3 linked regions of the Schizosaccharomyces pombe genome follow. The protein of the gene in region 3 purifies or fractionates together with the protein of the main gene of each other region. This does not show direct contact. Each region holds a gene or a part of one and is shown on either strand. Other genes may lie near its edges.

Region 1 (4,303 bases), 750 kb from region 3:
TCAACTCAGTTTTAAGTAAGGAAATATCTAGTGGCTTATCGACAAAAAGATTTAATGATATTAAATTTCTTAATGTATGGACCCCTTTGTCTGTTCTAGCTGCTCGCGCAATACACAAATGTTCAGCATCAATGTTATTTGTTTTTAAATAGCCCAATTTTTTAAGTACAGCTACAACATCTCCTTCAATTGTTTTAAGGGGATTATTTATTTGAATCCCATGGTAACCATAACCAGAATATCCCAATAAAATGATGATACGAACTTTGTTAGATTCTTTTGTGCCCTCGATTTTTTCTCGCTTTGGTAATTTTGGTGTTTCTAGATCCTCTGCGGGTATATGCTCCTGTTGATTTTTTCTTTTCGAGATAGAAGTCATTTTTTATAAAACAAATCTTCTAAAAAAATTTAAAGAAAAAAAAAACACCACAGTTTACTATTAATTACAAAAACGTATTAAAACAAAAGACACAGAAAATATTGGTGTTTAAGTGTGGTATGGACGCAATCAAGAATGATGCACACGAGATTGAAATACGCTCATTTTTTAGCGACATATTAAAAGTCTTTACAACTAAAATATTAGATACGAAAATAAGATATCCTACTTTATTATCTTTGTAGATGAATAACGAAATTTTGGAGTTTTAATGTACAACATAATATTAGGTAAATCAGAAAGTGTTTAGTTATAAGGATAACACAATTAGCAATAAGTATCTATGACAAGCTGATCCATTAATAATTAAGGCAGGTAATTAGGTAAAGGAAAAGAGGAAATTATTTTGCTAGCAAACCATAGCGTCCGACAAATTGATAACCAAAAGATTAATTTTATACAATAAAAGATTACGGAAATAAAATGAGCGGAGCTCGACTTATTGTGGTGAACAGAACAAAACACAGTGATACAAAATTTGGTAAGGCTAATATCATCGACCGCGAAAACGGCACCAACCATTCCAATCAATAAGCGCTTGCATACAGCCCCACTCCGTAATTTTTTTCTCTAGCCAAACTAAAGAGACAGGCTTTGTAAGAAAATCATTGCAACCAGCAGCTAAAGCCTCGTTTCGATCAGCCATTAGGCTAGAAGCAGTAAGTGCCACTATAATCACAGGAGATTGAAATTTGTTTTCATTTAGCTGATCCTTTTCAGGTATCGGTTGTGTCAATTTTGGAGCACCAACTCCAATTGCGTTTAACCGCTCAAGTCTCCTAATTTCTTGGGTGACTTCAATACCGGACATCGTGGGAAGTTGGATGTCCATTAGAATCAAGTGAAAAGATTTCTTTTTCCACTTCTCGAGTGCTTCAAGCCCATCTTTAGCAACCTCCGAGGAAATATTGCGCTTCTTCATAAAAGTCTCTAGGATTTTTTGATTAATAATATTATCTTCAACAATCAAAACGTTAATTGGAGGAATCACTCCTTCAAGTAGACTAGCAAAAGGTGCTTTCGCACCTATGCCGGGACTTGTTAGAACATTGACTGGTGAAGTACCAACAATTCCATCTATTTGATTAGAAGGAAATCCTAAATGGGCTTGTGTATCAGCATTTAAGGGATCTTTGTTGTCTGCTATAGGAAATTGAGAACTGATATCAGGGTTCATCCTATTTGCTGCGTCAATATCAGCATTAACCGCGGGAAGGACTCCTGCGGTACCAGATTGTTTCGTATAAAGCGATGAATGACTAATACTTCTACTATTAGTGGGTGTCGCGACTTCGGCTTTCGCCAATTTTTCAGCTGTTGATTCATCAGACCGAGTCGACATTCCAATAGAATTTTTTCTAGTAATGGATTCGGCTTCGTCTGATGGTTGCGACTTGTCAGCTGAAGTTAGATCTGGTAAAGAGGGTCTTGAAGCCAATGTTTGCTGTCTAGAAGAACGAGGCAAAAGTAGTACGCCAGTTTTATTTACATTAGAGGAAGGAAGAGTTTGATGGGACCTAGTTCGGGATGCATTTCGTAAATTATAATTTAAAGGACCTCCTTTATAAGAATAAGTACTTTGATGTCGTGAAGGGGCAGAAACCGGGCTCTCAAGTGAATCAAGAGCAATGGATGGCTGTTTGATACGCGGGACTGTTTCGTTCGCTGGGGTAGGGATTATGTTAGGTGGGTATTCAGAAAAAACGGGAGGTGTTGATTCAAATGTAGAGGATGAGAGTTGAGAAGAGCGATATCTTAAGGCAACTGAGGTATCCGGCGACGCTACTAGAAGCGCGTCGTTAAAATCCTGACCATGAGGATAATAAGTTTCCATGACAAATAATATGCTTTCGTTGGGACTGAGTTCTCTAGATTGCAACTCCGATGATGCATTTGGTGGAGCTACTACACGAATCGAAAGCTCAGGTGCATCATAATACTGACTGATACGAATAGGGAATTTCCGAGCGATGGCATCTTTTAAATCGTCAACCAGATGATCTTCAGACAATATAACGGAGGAAGTAATCCCATCTGGAACTTTTTTAAACCAAATGCGCATCTTCTATATATCTTCTTTCTTTTGACTTAACCTCAACTTTCCTATATACAGTATGAACAACCAAAACAGCCGCCTGTTTTTACGTTTAACATTCGATAGCTTCTTGTATAATCCCCTTCTATTTTAAATTTAATAGAAATATACAAGTATAAAATCACTGTTCGTGATAAGGAATGAGTAAGGTATGGTTCACGATACAATACGGCAAGCCTACTTAAGGTGTTGAGTTTCGTTACCTAGTCGTGCAACAAGCGCTGGGGATTTAGTAGAGTACTTAGAGTAACACCTTCCATCTGAGGACAAAAATCGAATAAATTTTAACACGTGAAAATAATAGGCACAGCTAAAACTGCGATTGTAAATTATACATTCTACGATACGAGCAAATAAGTATTCGTTTAAAAGGGATACTGTTGTGTTATTGACTTACTATTAGAATTCGACATTACTAAAATTTAACTAATTGAGTAATTGTTTCTGAAATTTATTCCTTATTTTAGATTTTATTTAAAGTATGTAGTTTAAAAAAAAAAAAAATTAAACGTTATACCCATACTTAGTTGGCTACCATTAATGGTCCTATTACTACTTGTCAGGTTTGGATATTTAATGACTCAGATTAAATGATTTAATCAACACAAACCAATATTTTTGAAATTCAAAAATAATGAGGCTTCAATTTCTCAATGAGAAACCAAAAAAAATTATTTTAGATAGTAACCCATTTAGTCATAGAAAAAAAAACCGTGTTTGATTATATGTACAATTTATCAACTCATTTATTTTTATCAGGTTCTTAAATCATAATGATAAACCTAGGCGATTCTATTAGGAAGCAATATATTAAGGACTAATAAAATAAACAATAAATATTAATGATTAGGAAATCAAACGCACCAAGATAATCAAATTGATAAACAAACTATAGATAAATGACAGAAATATTGAATCAACAAAATTGCAACTCATTCAAAAAGTTATCAATTTACACTTAAAGAATTATTTACCACAAAACATACTGTAGCGTTAGCATTTGTTGCTCCTGTTAATAACGACTTCTGATCTCGATGAACTCAAAAAGTTCGAACCAACATAATATAGCGAGTGCTTTTGATCATTCAAGAATTAGAAATGAATGCTAACAATACTACATTACAATTACGAATTACTATATGTCACATGTTCTGATTACCTATCGTCTTACAAATGATAACAATACGATGTAGATCCACTAATAAATTTTTTAATTTATTAGCTAGAAATGATAGATGTAAAATCAAAGGAACAACGTTCTTTAGTTCAGCTGTGGTGGTTTGTTTAGAGATAAATTACATTACCGCCTTCATACAAGGATATCCGTAACCCCCGTTATCATACAACCATATGTACCGCTATGTAGTGCACATACGAAAATCAAGTAGTCTAACATATCATTAATGATAATTACGAACTGCATAGCTAAAAAAAATAAAACGCAATATCAAACTTAACGAAAATATTTTGTGTAAACGTTAATAAACTGTAATTATTTTAAGGAAAAGTGCTTATTCACGTTGTTAAAATAAAAAAGTACAACCTACAGATGCGTACACAGAAAGAAGTGAGTTTATTCGTTCCGCGAACTAGCTTGGCAGTAAATTTTGGGGAATTGACTTTTGTACATTATAGCATACCATTGTGGATCAATTTTATGTTCATTGCATTTTTTTAGTAATTATTACTTCTTAGAGTTCCTTTTTTTTTCAACAAAACCTTCGGATTTACGTCTGAGGTGATCGATCTTTTCATGCTATGTCTGCTCA
Region 2 (7,665 bases), on a different chromosome or scaffold from region 3:
ATTTTTACTTTTAAACCATTACATTTAAACTATGCTAATTTTATGACCATCATTTCTTTGAAAGAAAAATATAGCAATTGATGTTGAGAAACACTGTTTAATGGCTAGCTTTTTGAAGCCTTTTTGATTTCGACAGAGATCTTAATTGGGAGTCGAATTTTGTTTTACTAACTGTTTTCAAGTATTGATTTAGGAACTGCATGTGGTAAATTATTTCGCGTCGGTGTATTAGCAGTTATTGATGCTGGCGATTCCGACATTCTTGCTGCTTAGGTAAAACTTATTAAAATTTTTAAAATCAATGTTATGGCAGATAAAATAAATCGGATTATTTTTATTGGATTTCCAAGTTTCTGGTAGAATCCAGGAACTCTTTAGCTTGACATATCTAAACAAATGTAAAAAATTCAGCATTAGGCTGATCTATCTTGTATATTAGCGTAACAATGAAACTCATCAATATATGCATTGTATTTACGTTTGATTGTTGTAGCAAGGTAATTTAATTAACGTCTCTTCCTAGCGCCGTAGTAAAAATGATTCTATGATAAAGTCACTTTTACACTCAACTAATTCAATAACGATTCATTTAATGAATACCGCATAGATTGCTACGAATACAAAACTTACAAAGTGTTTAGGACTTTATAATATTTCTCGTCTCTATTAATTAAGTATTAAATTAAAACCGTATCCAAAAAATAGTCATAAGGTGTAAAACATAGCAAACATCTAAAGTTCCAACGGAGCACCATTGGTAGAAGGCGCTGATTCGACTACGGATGAGTTCATAAGATCGAATTCCGTACCAGCCCGTAAGGGATACACCCATGGATCCATTAATAATTCGGCAGCTGTAGCGCGCTGATTGGGATCAGAAACAAAACAACGTTTGAGGAAATTTTGACCCAAAGGCGAAAGCTGATCATCTGCAGGAATAATAGGAGGATTATGTGCAGCAATGTGATACATCAAAGAAAAATGATTATCTAATCTAGGCCAAGGTGGGGAACCCGTAGCCATTTCAACAATAACACATCCAAGTGACCAAATATCCATAGCACCAACCCTTTCGGACGGATTACCAAGAATTAATTCTGGCGCCATATACGTAGGTGTTCCTGTCAAGGAGTAACCGCGATTTTGGTCTAGATGCTGCAAAAATTCCGAGTCTTTTTCAAACTCTTCCTCTTCTTGTTGTGTTAACTGTTCAAAAATTTTAGTTGAAGCAGAACCCGACATCTTGGCAGAACCAAAATCTGTAAATTTCATGATCCCGTTGTGATCAAAAAGGATATTCTCAGGCTTTACATCTTGATGTGAAACACCACAGGAGTGTATGTAAGCCAATCCTTCTAATAATTGTAGGACATAAACTTGAATTACCAATTCGTCCTCAATTCTACCGTAACGTAGAAATTCGAAAAGCGAAGAGCCTTGACAAAGTTCCATAAATATATTAACTTTTTCACGATGCACTTCGATACCATAATACGATACGACATTAGGATGATCAAAGAGTTCAAGTACTAACATTTCACCTTTAATCCTCTTGATCATCGGTCTAGATATACGAGGTTTATGCAATGCCACTTCTTTAACAGCCATTAAATCTCCTGTATCCAAGTTAACAGCACGATAAACCGTACCGAAAGAACCGCTACCTATAAGTCCACCCTGTTGCCATCGAATCGTGATATTAGATTTCGAAGAGGCTAGCTCTTTCAATAGCCTGTTCTCCTTTGTCGTATCATCCAAAACACGTCCAATGAGCTGGGACTTATAAAGTCGGTCCCTTCTATTACTTTCTAGTTCAATTATCCGATGCATAACCTCCTCCTTGACAAAGGAAGCCAACTCATTATCCGATAAACGACTTCGGTCGGAATTATTTCGAACAAGGCGAGCTGGTATATCTCCAGCTTGTTGGTCCATACTACGACCAGCATGTTTAGTACCCATAACATCAAAGTGCAAAAGTAATAATGCCACACATTTTCCAACCTTTTCTTTGAGTTCTTCAAATGATTTTTTATCAATCATTAAAATGTTCGAACCGTATGTCATAATCATTGCGAATTCTAAAGCCGTAACAGTCCAACGAAACGTATTTCTATCGGTAGGAGAACAATCCTCATAGATGAATCCAACCCAACTGATCGCCAGCTGTATCATTTTGCGACGAATCAGCCCAATGCTAGATGCGTCTAGGATCGAAAGCCTCATTAATCGTTGTGCAAATTCAATGGCGTAAGAAAAAGAATAATGAATTAGATTTTGGCAATTCATGCCATGGTACCTTGTACGAATTGTTTGTATCACATCAAGCAATGACAAAGCCAACTTCAAAGAATTTCGTTTAATTTTGGTCATTTGTTTGTTGATTTTGGATGAATTTGCTTTCGCAGAATCAACAAGTGAGACTGTGTCACCAACTATACTAATAAAATAATCTTCGATAACAGAGAGTTGATTAGCTGTCGCTAACGTTACTAAACGGACACAGTTAGGAGCAATGGAAATTGACACTTCCGGAATATCAAGATCTGTAACATGGCCGTTCCAACATATTGAGCTGTCTGGAGCCAATACAACCGCATATGGAGGTACACTTTCAAAATTATTATCTCCTTTATTAAAAGTCATTGAAAGTACCTCACGAAGTATATTAGGGGAATCAACTAGGTGTCCTGGAACAATTACGTATGCTCCTTCATGTTCGATACTCGCCGTATATGTCAAAACGTGATTTGATTCTTCAAGGCGTTGTATTAAAAGGGATAATGAATTCTCTTTAATAACGTACTCGCAAGAATTTTCCAAATGCGCTTTTAGTATACGAGTAAAACTCATCAATTTTCGGAAGCGAATTCTAACACAGTCAAGCACCTTGATATAAAATGAGGTGATCAATGCAGAGTCATCGGTATCGGGCCCCTGCAGCTGATCTTTTAGATACCTATTGATATTGGTCAATATTTCACCAACCAGCGAAGAAAGACTTTTAGACATAATTTGGAATCCGTGTTCGATGTGGGGACAAACAGCGAGCAGAAAATCCCATTCTCCTTCTAAAATTTCGGTTTCTTTGAAATGCAGCAAGGCACAGCCATTGCGAACCTTACGATGTAATAAATTGAAGTAAAATTTCAATGAGGCAACTAAAATATTGTTTAAGGACTGGTTTTCATCAACAAATTTGCTATCATCACGAAAAGGTTTGATTAGAACAGTGTGTTGTTGAATGATATGGACGGCAACTTTCATAGTGTTCCGAAGGTCATCTAGTAAAGAGTCAATCGTAAATAAAGAAATTGAGGTAATATTTTCTGCACATGATAAGCGAAGATTTAGGAACTCTTTGATTAACCTAAACGGAAAAGAAAGAAGACGCATGTAATCATCAGCAATAAGCGGCAAGCCATAACTTTTTAAATCATCCGCATATGTAACAATCGTATTACAAACTTTGCTTAATACGCTATTCATATTAGTCATGATTCTTTGCTCAAAAGCTCGAATCAAACCGGTTTCTCTATAAAAGCGCTCCACAAATGGTCCGTTTGAAATTTGAGAAACGTTATTAATAGAATTTGTAGTATTTTTGGTAATGTCCATTTCCTCATTACCAACCCACGAGCGAATAATGTTAACTTGAATTTCTAGCGCATGAGTGACATTAGAATAAGCCGTCAAGACATCCAACTTGTGCTGAAAAGATTCTGAAGCATATAATGAATGTTCCTGAAGGATAGAACGACGTGAAGGATATAAACGTTCATATTTATCAAGTTTTTGCAGCATGTTATCGACAGCAACAATAGGGGTTAATTCGTTGCTCTCATCCCAATGAAAATTCATAATGGCCAGTAGCACATCAACCATACCCGTACGAAGATGTTTTAAATTTTCTCTATAAGAATCAACGGAACGATGAGTAAGCCAACACCATATTTCCATCCACAAATTATCAGAATAATCACTATTTCGCCCTTCTCGAGAAGAAGCAATCTTTCTTAGCCGTAATTTTTCAGATCGGACTATATCACCAGTCAGAACTGAAGTCAACATATATTGCCATTCAAAACGTTCTTTGTTTTTTGGGTTAGCCATTAAATCATCAGAAAGTAAGGATGGGAGATTCAGAACAGATTGTACCCAATTTACAGTTGAAGTCTCAGAATCTAAATCCGAGTCCTCCTCATCATAAGTTTCATTAACATTAGAAAAGTAATAAGTTGAACTATCACGACGAATGCTTAGAGAAGGATCGTTATAATCATATTCTGGGTCAAAACACTTTAACGAACTACTCAGTCGTCTTAATTGAGATTTCCTCTCAGGATGATCTTCAATTTTAGCAAATGTTATAGAATTTCTTAGTTTGTGAGAACGCTTGGGCTTTTCTGGCAAATTTTTAGTTTTGCTTGGAACTGCTGTTGAATTTATGTGTTCAACATCAATCATTGGCGACGAAATAGAACGTCCTCTGTGCATATAATCGTCTTCCTTAATACCGGGAGACTTTATTATCCTATTTGAGCTAATACTACTTTGCAGACTAGGTCGGATAGGATGATCGAGGTTTGAATGACCAGCATTCTTAATTGGTATAGGAATGGAAGAGGAAGAAGTAGGAGGATGTAGTAGATTACTAGTATCGCTTGGACTTACGGCATAAGCACGATCTAATTCATCAATATTGATTGGGTCAACAGGGGTAGAAATAGTAAGGGCCTCGGCTGGAGGCTGTTCAGCCATTCTGAAAGCTTCTGAAAATAAGTCCTCTTTGGCGCTCGCCTTGGATCTATCACTTGAGCTACGCGCAACAGATGGCCTTCTGTGATTTTCTTCTTTTCCGTTGTTAGGAAGTTCAAGCATAGACGAGGTAAAACTTGAAAGTAAAGTCAAAGAGCGACGATGAGCCTTTTCAAATGTTTTATCACGCAATTCACTATCAAGAATTGGATTGATAGAAGATCGCCTTGAGCCATTTTCTAGTATATGTGAATTGACCACAGAAGGATCCAAAATATTTTCCATGTTTGTTGAGGAACAAATTTCGAATTGCTTCAGAAGTTATGTATAAAAAAGACCGTTATACCCAAATTTAAACCCAAAACGGGAAACAGATAAGTTTGGAATAGTGGCAAGTAGTAGTAGAATAATTGTTTACTGAAGTCAAAAATGGGAGTGGGTAATGAAAAAGTGGTTTACAGATGCAAGGAATGCCAACTCAGTGTAAGGAATTGTGCAGCGAAGTCAATGCAACTACTGTTATATGTAAAAATAAAAAATCCGAAGTTGACAAAGACAAATAACGATTGCAGGAATTACCAACCGAACAGAATTCAGGTTGTAAGTATATTAAAGTAATGCAGTCAAATTGAGGAACGTAGAGAGAGAGACACACACACACATCCAAAGCAATGGGTTTTCGAAAAGATACGGTAAATATTAATGAGCAGAAAAAAATGATAAAATATTAAATGTAGAAATTCGGCTTAAAAAATCGATAAAAGTGTTGTGTAAAAAAATTATACGAGCCGAAGAGCAGTAAAACTACCGCGTATAAATTGTTGAAAGAGCAATAATCAGTGAACTAAAAAGTCAATCCTCCTTGTAGAATATGTGGAATTGACAAAAAGAAAATTTATAGGTTTGCGGTGTGCAAAGGATAAACAACTAATTGTGGTCTAACCCCGTAGTATAGTATGAAGTGGGGTACTAGTTTTAAGGATTTTCAGTGCAATGAGGAATTTCTCACTAAATAGCAAAATCATAGATATGGGTTTTCAGGTATTTTTGATTTACATTCTTTTACTTTAATTTAATAAAATCTTTTTATCACAGAATAAAGGTTGGACTAATATTCACAAAAGACAAAACATCTGTCTAGTACTTTTTCCGAAATATTATTGCAAAATAGATTTATTAAAAAGAGAAAACGAAAGAAATTTACAATAAAACCAAAAGCTTCTTAAGATGCAGAAGTATAAAAAGGTTGTAATGGCCAGTTTCACCTTTACTTGCTATCCACCAATGCGAAACTGTTCTCACAATTATTGAAATTATCCTAAGCGAAATTTTGACACTTTGGATAACAAAATAGATACTTCCCATTCCATTAATGGATTAAATAGCCAAAAAGAGAAACTCAGTGTAATAATAGTTGGAGTTGGGACATTAAATAATGCACATGATCGTTTAGCCCTGGTAGCATGGACGCATCGAAATCTAATGAAGAATCCCCTTCCAACTTAACTTTATATTTTGATAAAATGTTTTGCGCGTCCTCATCCTTTAAATCAGAATAATTTGCAGGATCCGCTAACCGTAGAATAGCCTTAGCCTCTCCTAAAATCTCTGAGTCCTTGTCGTAAATATCTTTGGAATTTGCCTTTTCGTAAAGATCTTTTAAGTCTATTTGTGTTTTTAGTTAGCAGCGGTTAAAACTAAAGCATTACAACACATGAATGTCTTACCTTTGATGGATCTCGTAAATTCCTTCACCTCAAAAAGCTGTTCTCGAACGGTGTGTCCTGCACTGTTTACCGTTTCGGGAATTATCAATGGACTATCGAATTTCACATTAAAGTCCTGCTCCCAATCTGAATCCGCATCGTCCGCAAATAAATCGCAACGAGATGAAAATCGAATATCCGATGAATCGTTATTTATATGAGTCGTTTGCGTATTGTCTTGAATGATAGGTTCCGACACTTTCGACGACTCTGGCGAAGTAGTCGATAACTCGTCCCAGCAAATACCATCCGAACTCTCATCTTCTTGCGTAGTCGCACCCAAAGAAGTTTCTTGGATTTGCTTAGCTAATTCATTTATCCGAAAGGAATCTGTCTCATTATCATCATGAAGCTCACCTTCAATAAATCCATTAACTGAAGGTAGTTCAGCACCTACACCACTAGCCTTGCTCCCTTTATTGGCCGAATTAAATTCATTACTTAACGCAGTTTTTTTACAGTTGCCTTTGTTTATCTCATTCGCCGTAAAGTGAGACAACGACGTACTGTCTGCACCTGAAGCGTTGCGTTGTACAGTACTTTTTGACTCAACTCCTATGAATGAAAAAATTCGTTTAGAAAATTTTCGGGAGTAACTTCTTAAGCTTTCAAATGCTGAGGGTTTCCTCCATGAGCCTTGATCTATGCATTCGGAGGTGTTAACTTCTTTCGGTAATCCAAGCTGTTTAGGGCGCCTCGGTGTAATATCTGAACCATAACTTTTCATGCCTTTCACATGCCTTCGTTGTAGAGTCACACCTTCAAAAGAATGACCCCTATTCTCTTCGAAAGTATCTGGAACCTCTGCCATATTGACAGAAGAATAGAAATATTCACTTAAATTTTGTTGACTGCCGTATACAACTCCCATTGACGAAATACTCGTAAATCTATATTTCTCTTAAGCTAAATTAAAGAAAGAATTATTGCCGTAGAGAAAAGACTGTACGCGTCAACCCATTCAAGTGTGTAAATAATGGTAGAAGGCACTTTCGTCAAGACCACGCTTTTGTTAGTAAACAAACGGTCGTCATGAGAACGACATAACGAATTTTGAACATGAATCTGTAAATGATTTATAAGGAAATACAAAGTTCTATAACATCAAAGAACGCAATTCGTTATGTTGTTTAAGCGCTAT
Region 3 (3,956 bases):
TTCGGAAACCTTTTGCTACCATTGCTCATTCCATCCAGCCTCATACTTTTGTCTTAACGGACATATGTATTTTTAGATTGACAATAAACATTTTCGTTTTTGTTGATTAACATGTAATCATGTGATGCGCTAGTAGCGTACACAACTAACATAGCGATGAATTGTTTGTACTTTACAGTGGGTAAAAATTTTTAAATTACAAAACCGACTTCGGTTTGAATAAAGTCTAAAGTGTGCATTGGGAGATCAACTAGTTCTCGGGATGCAGACGGAAAAACAGTAAAACAAGCTCTTCGCGGTACAAGTGAAAAAGATCAAAACGGGCGTTCATGCTTAAGTGCATCTTCATATTAAACTTAAGCTAGCGAAATGGGGGACAGTGGATGCCTCCTACCTAAATCCATCAGTAAAGTAACACCGTCCCCACAAATGCGACTCACCACCAAAGCAATAATATATAGTATAAATAAGACTTTGACATAATATCCTACAAGGAAACTGACAAAAAAAAATTCACTTAAGTTGACCAAATGAAAAAGAGATTACACAAGACTACAAAAGAAGATCATTTACAAAAGGAGACAGGCAAACTATACGTATCACAAACCAAAACGAAAAAAAGTATTTATCAAAATCATAAAATTTATTTATAAGTATTTATAAGTTCAAAAACAAACGCTCAGCCATCTCATCACTGCAACAAAATTAAAAAAAATATATGCAACAATGAATGAGAAGGAGGGTATCAAAGAACAGAGGAAATTTGTAAAAAAGTCATCCATCTATTTATTCACATAGAGTGCGCGTCCACAAAAAAAATGCGAAAATCTAAAAAAGAAAACTCCCGCACTGCAAACGACAACGACTCCTTTGTCTAACATAAAGAAAAAACGGGGAAAACAACTCCAAAAGACTTTCCTGCATTGCCTTTAAGCACCCACCCGACGTTTCTTAGCATCGGGATGATTAGCTAGTTAGTTGTCCTTGGCGGCAGTGTAGGCAACCAAGTCAACGACACGGCGGGAGTAACCCCATTCGTTATCGTACCAAGAGACGAGCTTGACGAATTGAGGAGAAAGTTGGATACCGGCAGAGGCATCGAAGATGGAGGAGTGGTTGTCACCGCAGAAGTCAGTGGAGACAACAGCGTCCTCGGTGTAACCCAACACACCCTTCATGGGGCCCTCAGAGGCAGCCTTGATGGCGGCCTTGATGTCCTCGTAGTTGGTAGGCTTGGCCAACTTGACGGTCAAGTCAACAACGGAAACATCGGGGGTAGGGACACGGAAAGCCATACCGGTAAGCTTACCGTTAAGAGCGGGAATAACCTTACCGACGGCCTTGGCGGCACCAGTGGAGGAGGGGATGATGTTGGCGCTGGCGCCACGACCACCACGCCAGTCCTTCTTGGAGGGACCGTCAACGGTCTTTTGGGTGGCAGTGGTAGCGTGGACAGTGGTCATGAGACCCTCCTCGATACCGAAGGTGTCGTTGATGACCTTGGCAAGGGGAGCCAAACAGTTGGTGGTGCAAGAAGCGTTGGAGATAACCTTCTCAGAGGGGTTGAACTTCTCCTCGTTGACACCGACAACGTACATGGGGGCGTCCTTGGAAGGAGCAGAGATGATGACACGCTTGGCACCACCCTTCAAGTGAGCAGAGGCAGTCTCTTGAGTGGTGAAGACACCGGTGGACTCGATAACGTAGTCAGCACCAGAGGTAGACCACTTGATGTCGGCGGGGTCACGCTCGTTGTGGACATCGATGGCATTGCCATCAATGACGAGCTTACCATCCTTGATCTCGACGGAGCCATCGAAGCGACCGTGGGTAGAGTCGTACTTGAACATGTAGGCCATGTATTCAAGATCGATAAAAGGATCGTTGATAGCAACGACTTGGATGGTCTTAGCGACCAAAGCGTTACGGAGGACAATACGTCCAATACGACCGAAACCGTTAATACCAACCTTAGGAATTGCCATTTTGAATCAAGTGTAAATCAATACTATGGATGAATGATCTATACAGAAGCGATGCTAGGCACCGCCTGCCTCTATTTATACCTTTCCATCCCACACAGCAGCCATCAGCCGTGGTGTGAATGGGGTAAGGGTTTCCCCCGACTATCTTTACCACAATTGCCTCGCACTCGATTCGGAACAACTAAGGAGCAAGGTGATTGGAGAAGGTGCGCGATCGTGATGTGGTGCCAACTTTCCTTGACTTTCTTTGCAAGTTGTTCCGAGATGGTCGTTGCTTCGTTGGTAATCTGCCTCGTTCCCGCTCCTGACTTTGATTGCACATTCCATGACGTCAGCCTTGTGAGGAAAGTTTTTCCGACGCCTACCTCAGCGTGATGCAAGCCTTGTCACCTGAAGTCAGGGGGAAGGAGGAATTGCTAGCACATTCCAAAGTCAAAAGGTTGACAAGGCGGTTGTCCATTGGCTACGGAAAAATCACAAGACAGGGTCCTTTCGTAGCGAGGCCAAATGCACCCTGAGTCATTTATCGCCTCTGGCCTCTTTTAATCAAGCGCCGAGCGCATTGTTACCTGCAGGAAGCCGGGTGAAAGCGGTCGAAGAGTTTCGAGAGGACGATTGCGATGGTAGGTGAGGAGGTGATGATGGCGCTTCGGTAGTAGTGGTAGAGCGGTGCGTCGTTGCTATCATGCGTACATTCAAGCAGCATCAGCAGCAGCAGTTGAGGATGACAGCGGCTGCTACTGATGCTTGAGCTACAGTCGTCAAACAGATGCAGACTGTGGGTGTGGGTGGAAAGTGGGTAGAGAGAGAAGAGATGAGTGATTGTTGGTGCGATGTCCTGAGCTTCAACGTTTGTGCATAAAAGGAATGGACGCACAGTTTGTTTATTTAGTGTGCATGCGTGCGTGTATATTTTGTTATTTGCATTTTTGTATGTATGTGTAATCGTATTTGTATGGGAGTTTACAAAAATTCAGGAATTTTGATTTTCCATACTTTACAGCGTCCAAACCTTCTCACATCTGCCAAAACATCCTTACTAATTGAATTCTCCCGTCATCTCATCAACATTCATCATCATTTCACGCTACGCCAACAGTGTGGCATATACATGCAATGCAATCCACAGGCAATTTCAACGCTAGCATTGACTTGCTCAAACATGGCATGTCGACGTACAGTGCACCACTCGTACTAATACACTGCATTGCTCCACGTAAGCTCCATGATGTGAATTGAGGAATTTACTCCACCATAGTTCTTGTCTTTTAGCGAAAAGAGACATTCGTTACGAATCTCATATTCTCCTTGTGCGTAATTTTTTGACTTGCCATTTCATTCCCAAAACCAACGAACGAGCAGGGACTCAAATGAGCATCGATTCAAACTGAGTATCGACTCGTAATAAACATTGACTCAACTCACAATCTACTTGCATTTCCAACTTTTTTTTTTCAACTTTTTTGTTTCCAACTTTCTTCTAACCTTGTACATTCCCATTTTCCATTTTCCATTATTAACACTCGGTGTTTTGCCCATTCTCTTTTTTTCCTCTTTTTTCTCTCTCGCTCCCACTCTGTTTCCTCTCTTTTCTCTACCTTCTTAACAAGGTGGCTGTTGTCAAACACTTCGTTTACATCGTCGGCATTTCGTCGTCGCTTCTATTTTTTTCTAGGCATAATGGTGCATCATAAGCAAAATTGTATCAATAACATAGTGTACGATTGTCACGTAATCGGCAAAGCGCTTCTTGGCCTTGCCTCGAAAATCCGCTCTTCTTCGTTTTGATAGGAAAGCAAAACATACACATACATATACATATACACAATACAAATAAAATATGCATTATAATGAAACAGTTTCAGGATACATCACTTGCTCCAGTCTCCAAACGTACTTGGCAATATCGCTTTACTTACAACACTCCCATTCCACCACCACCCATCTACTCTTTTACTTATTTAACCTGTA

The links.
Region 1: the proteins of tdh1 (region 3) and mcs4 purify together in Schizosaccharomyces pombe (affinity purification with western blotting, with the first as the bait; 3 studies listed by BioGRID). This does not show direct contact.
Region 2: the proteins of tdh1 (region 3) and win1 purify together in Schizosaccharomyces pombe (affinity purification with western blotting, with the first as the bait; one study listed by BioGRID). This does not show direct contact.

What each region holds. Positions count from the first base shown.
Region 1 is NC_003423.3:3,555,472-3,559,774, reverse strand, and holds mcs4 (response regulator Mcs4), read right to left. Parts: upstream 2,688-4,303; 5' UTR 2,502-2,687; coding exon 933-2,501; 3' UTR 638-932; downstream 1-637. Other genes in the region: tRNA pseudouridine synthase Pus2, read right to left, coding at 1-379; leucine-rich repeat protein Sog2, read left to right, coding at 4,293-4,303. UniProt on the Schizosaccharomyces pombe protein: Response regulator that coordinately controls the stress activated wak1-wis1-sty1 MAP kinase pathway and fission yeast cell cycle.
Region 2 is NC_003424.3:5,087,819-5,095,483, reverse strand, and holds win1 (MAP kinase kinase kinase Win1), read right to left. Parts: upstream 5,669-7,665; 5' UTR 5,044-5,668; coding exon 733-5,043; 3' UTR 636-732; downstream 1-635. Other genes in the region: rpl3002 (60S ribosomal protein eL30), read left to right, coding at 183-273; Spg1-binding protein Etd1, read right to left, coding at 6,158-6,423, 6,486-7,395. UniProt on the Schizosaccharomyces pombe protein: Involved in a signal transduction pathway that is activated by changes in the osmolarity of the extracellular environment. Activates the wis1 MAP kinase kinase by phosphorylation.
Region 3 is NC_003423.3:2,805,666-2,809,621, reverse strand, and holds tdh1 (glyceraldehyde-3-phosphate dehydrogenase Tdh1), read right to left. Parts: upstream 2,028-3,956; 5' UTR 1,986-2,027; coding exon 975-1,985; 3' UTR 571-974; downstream 1-570.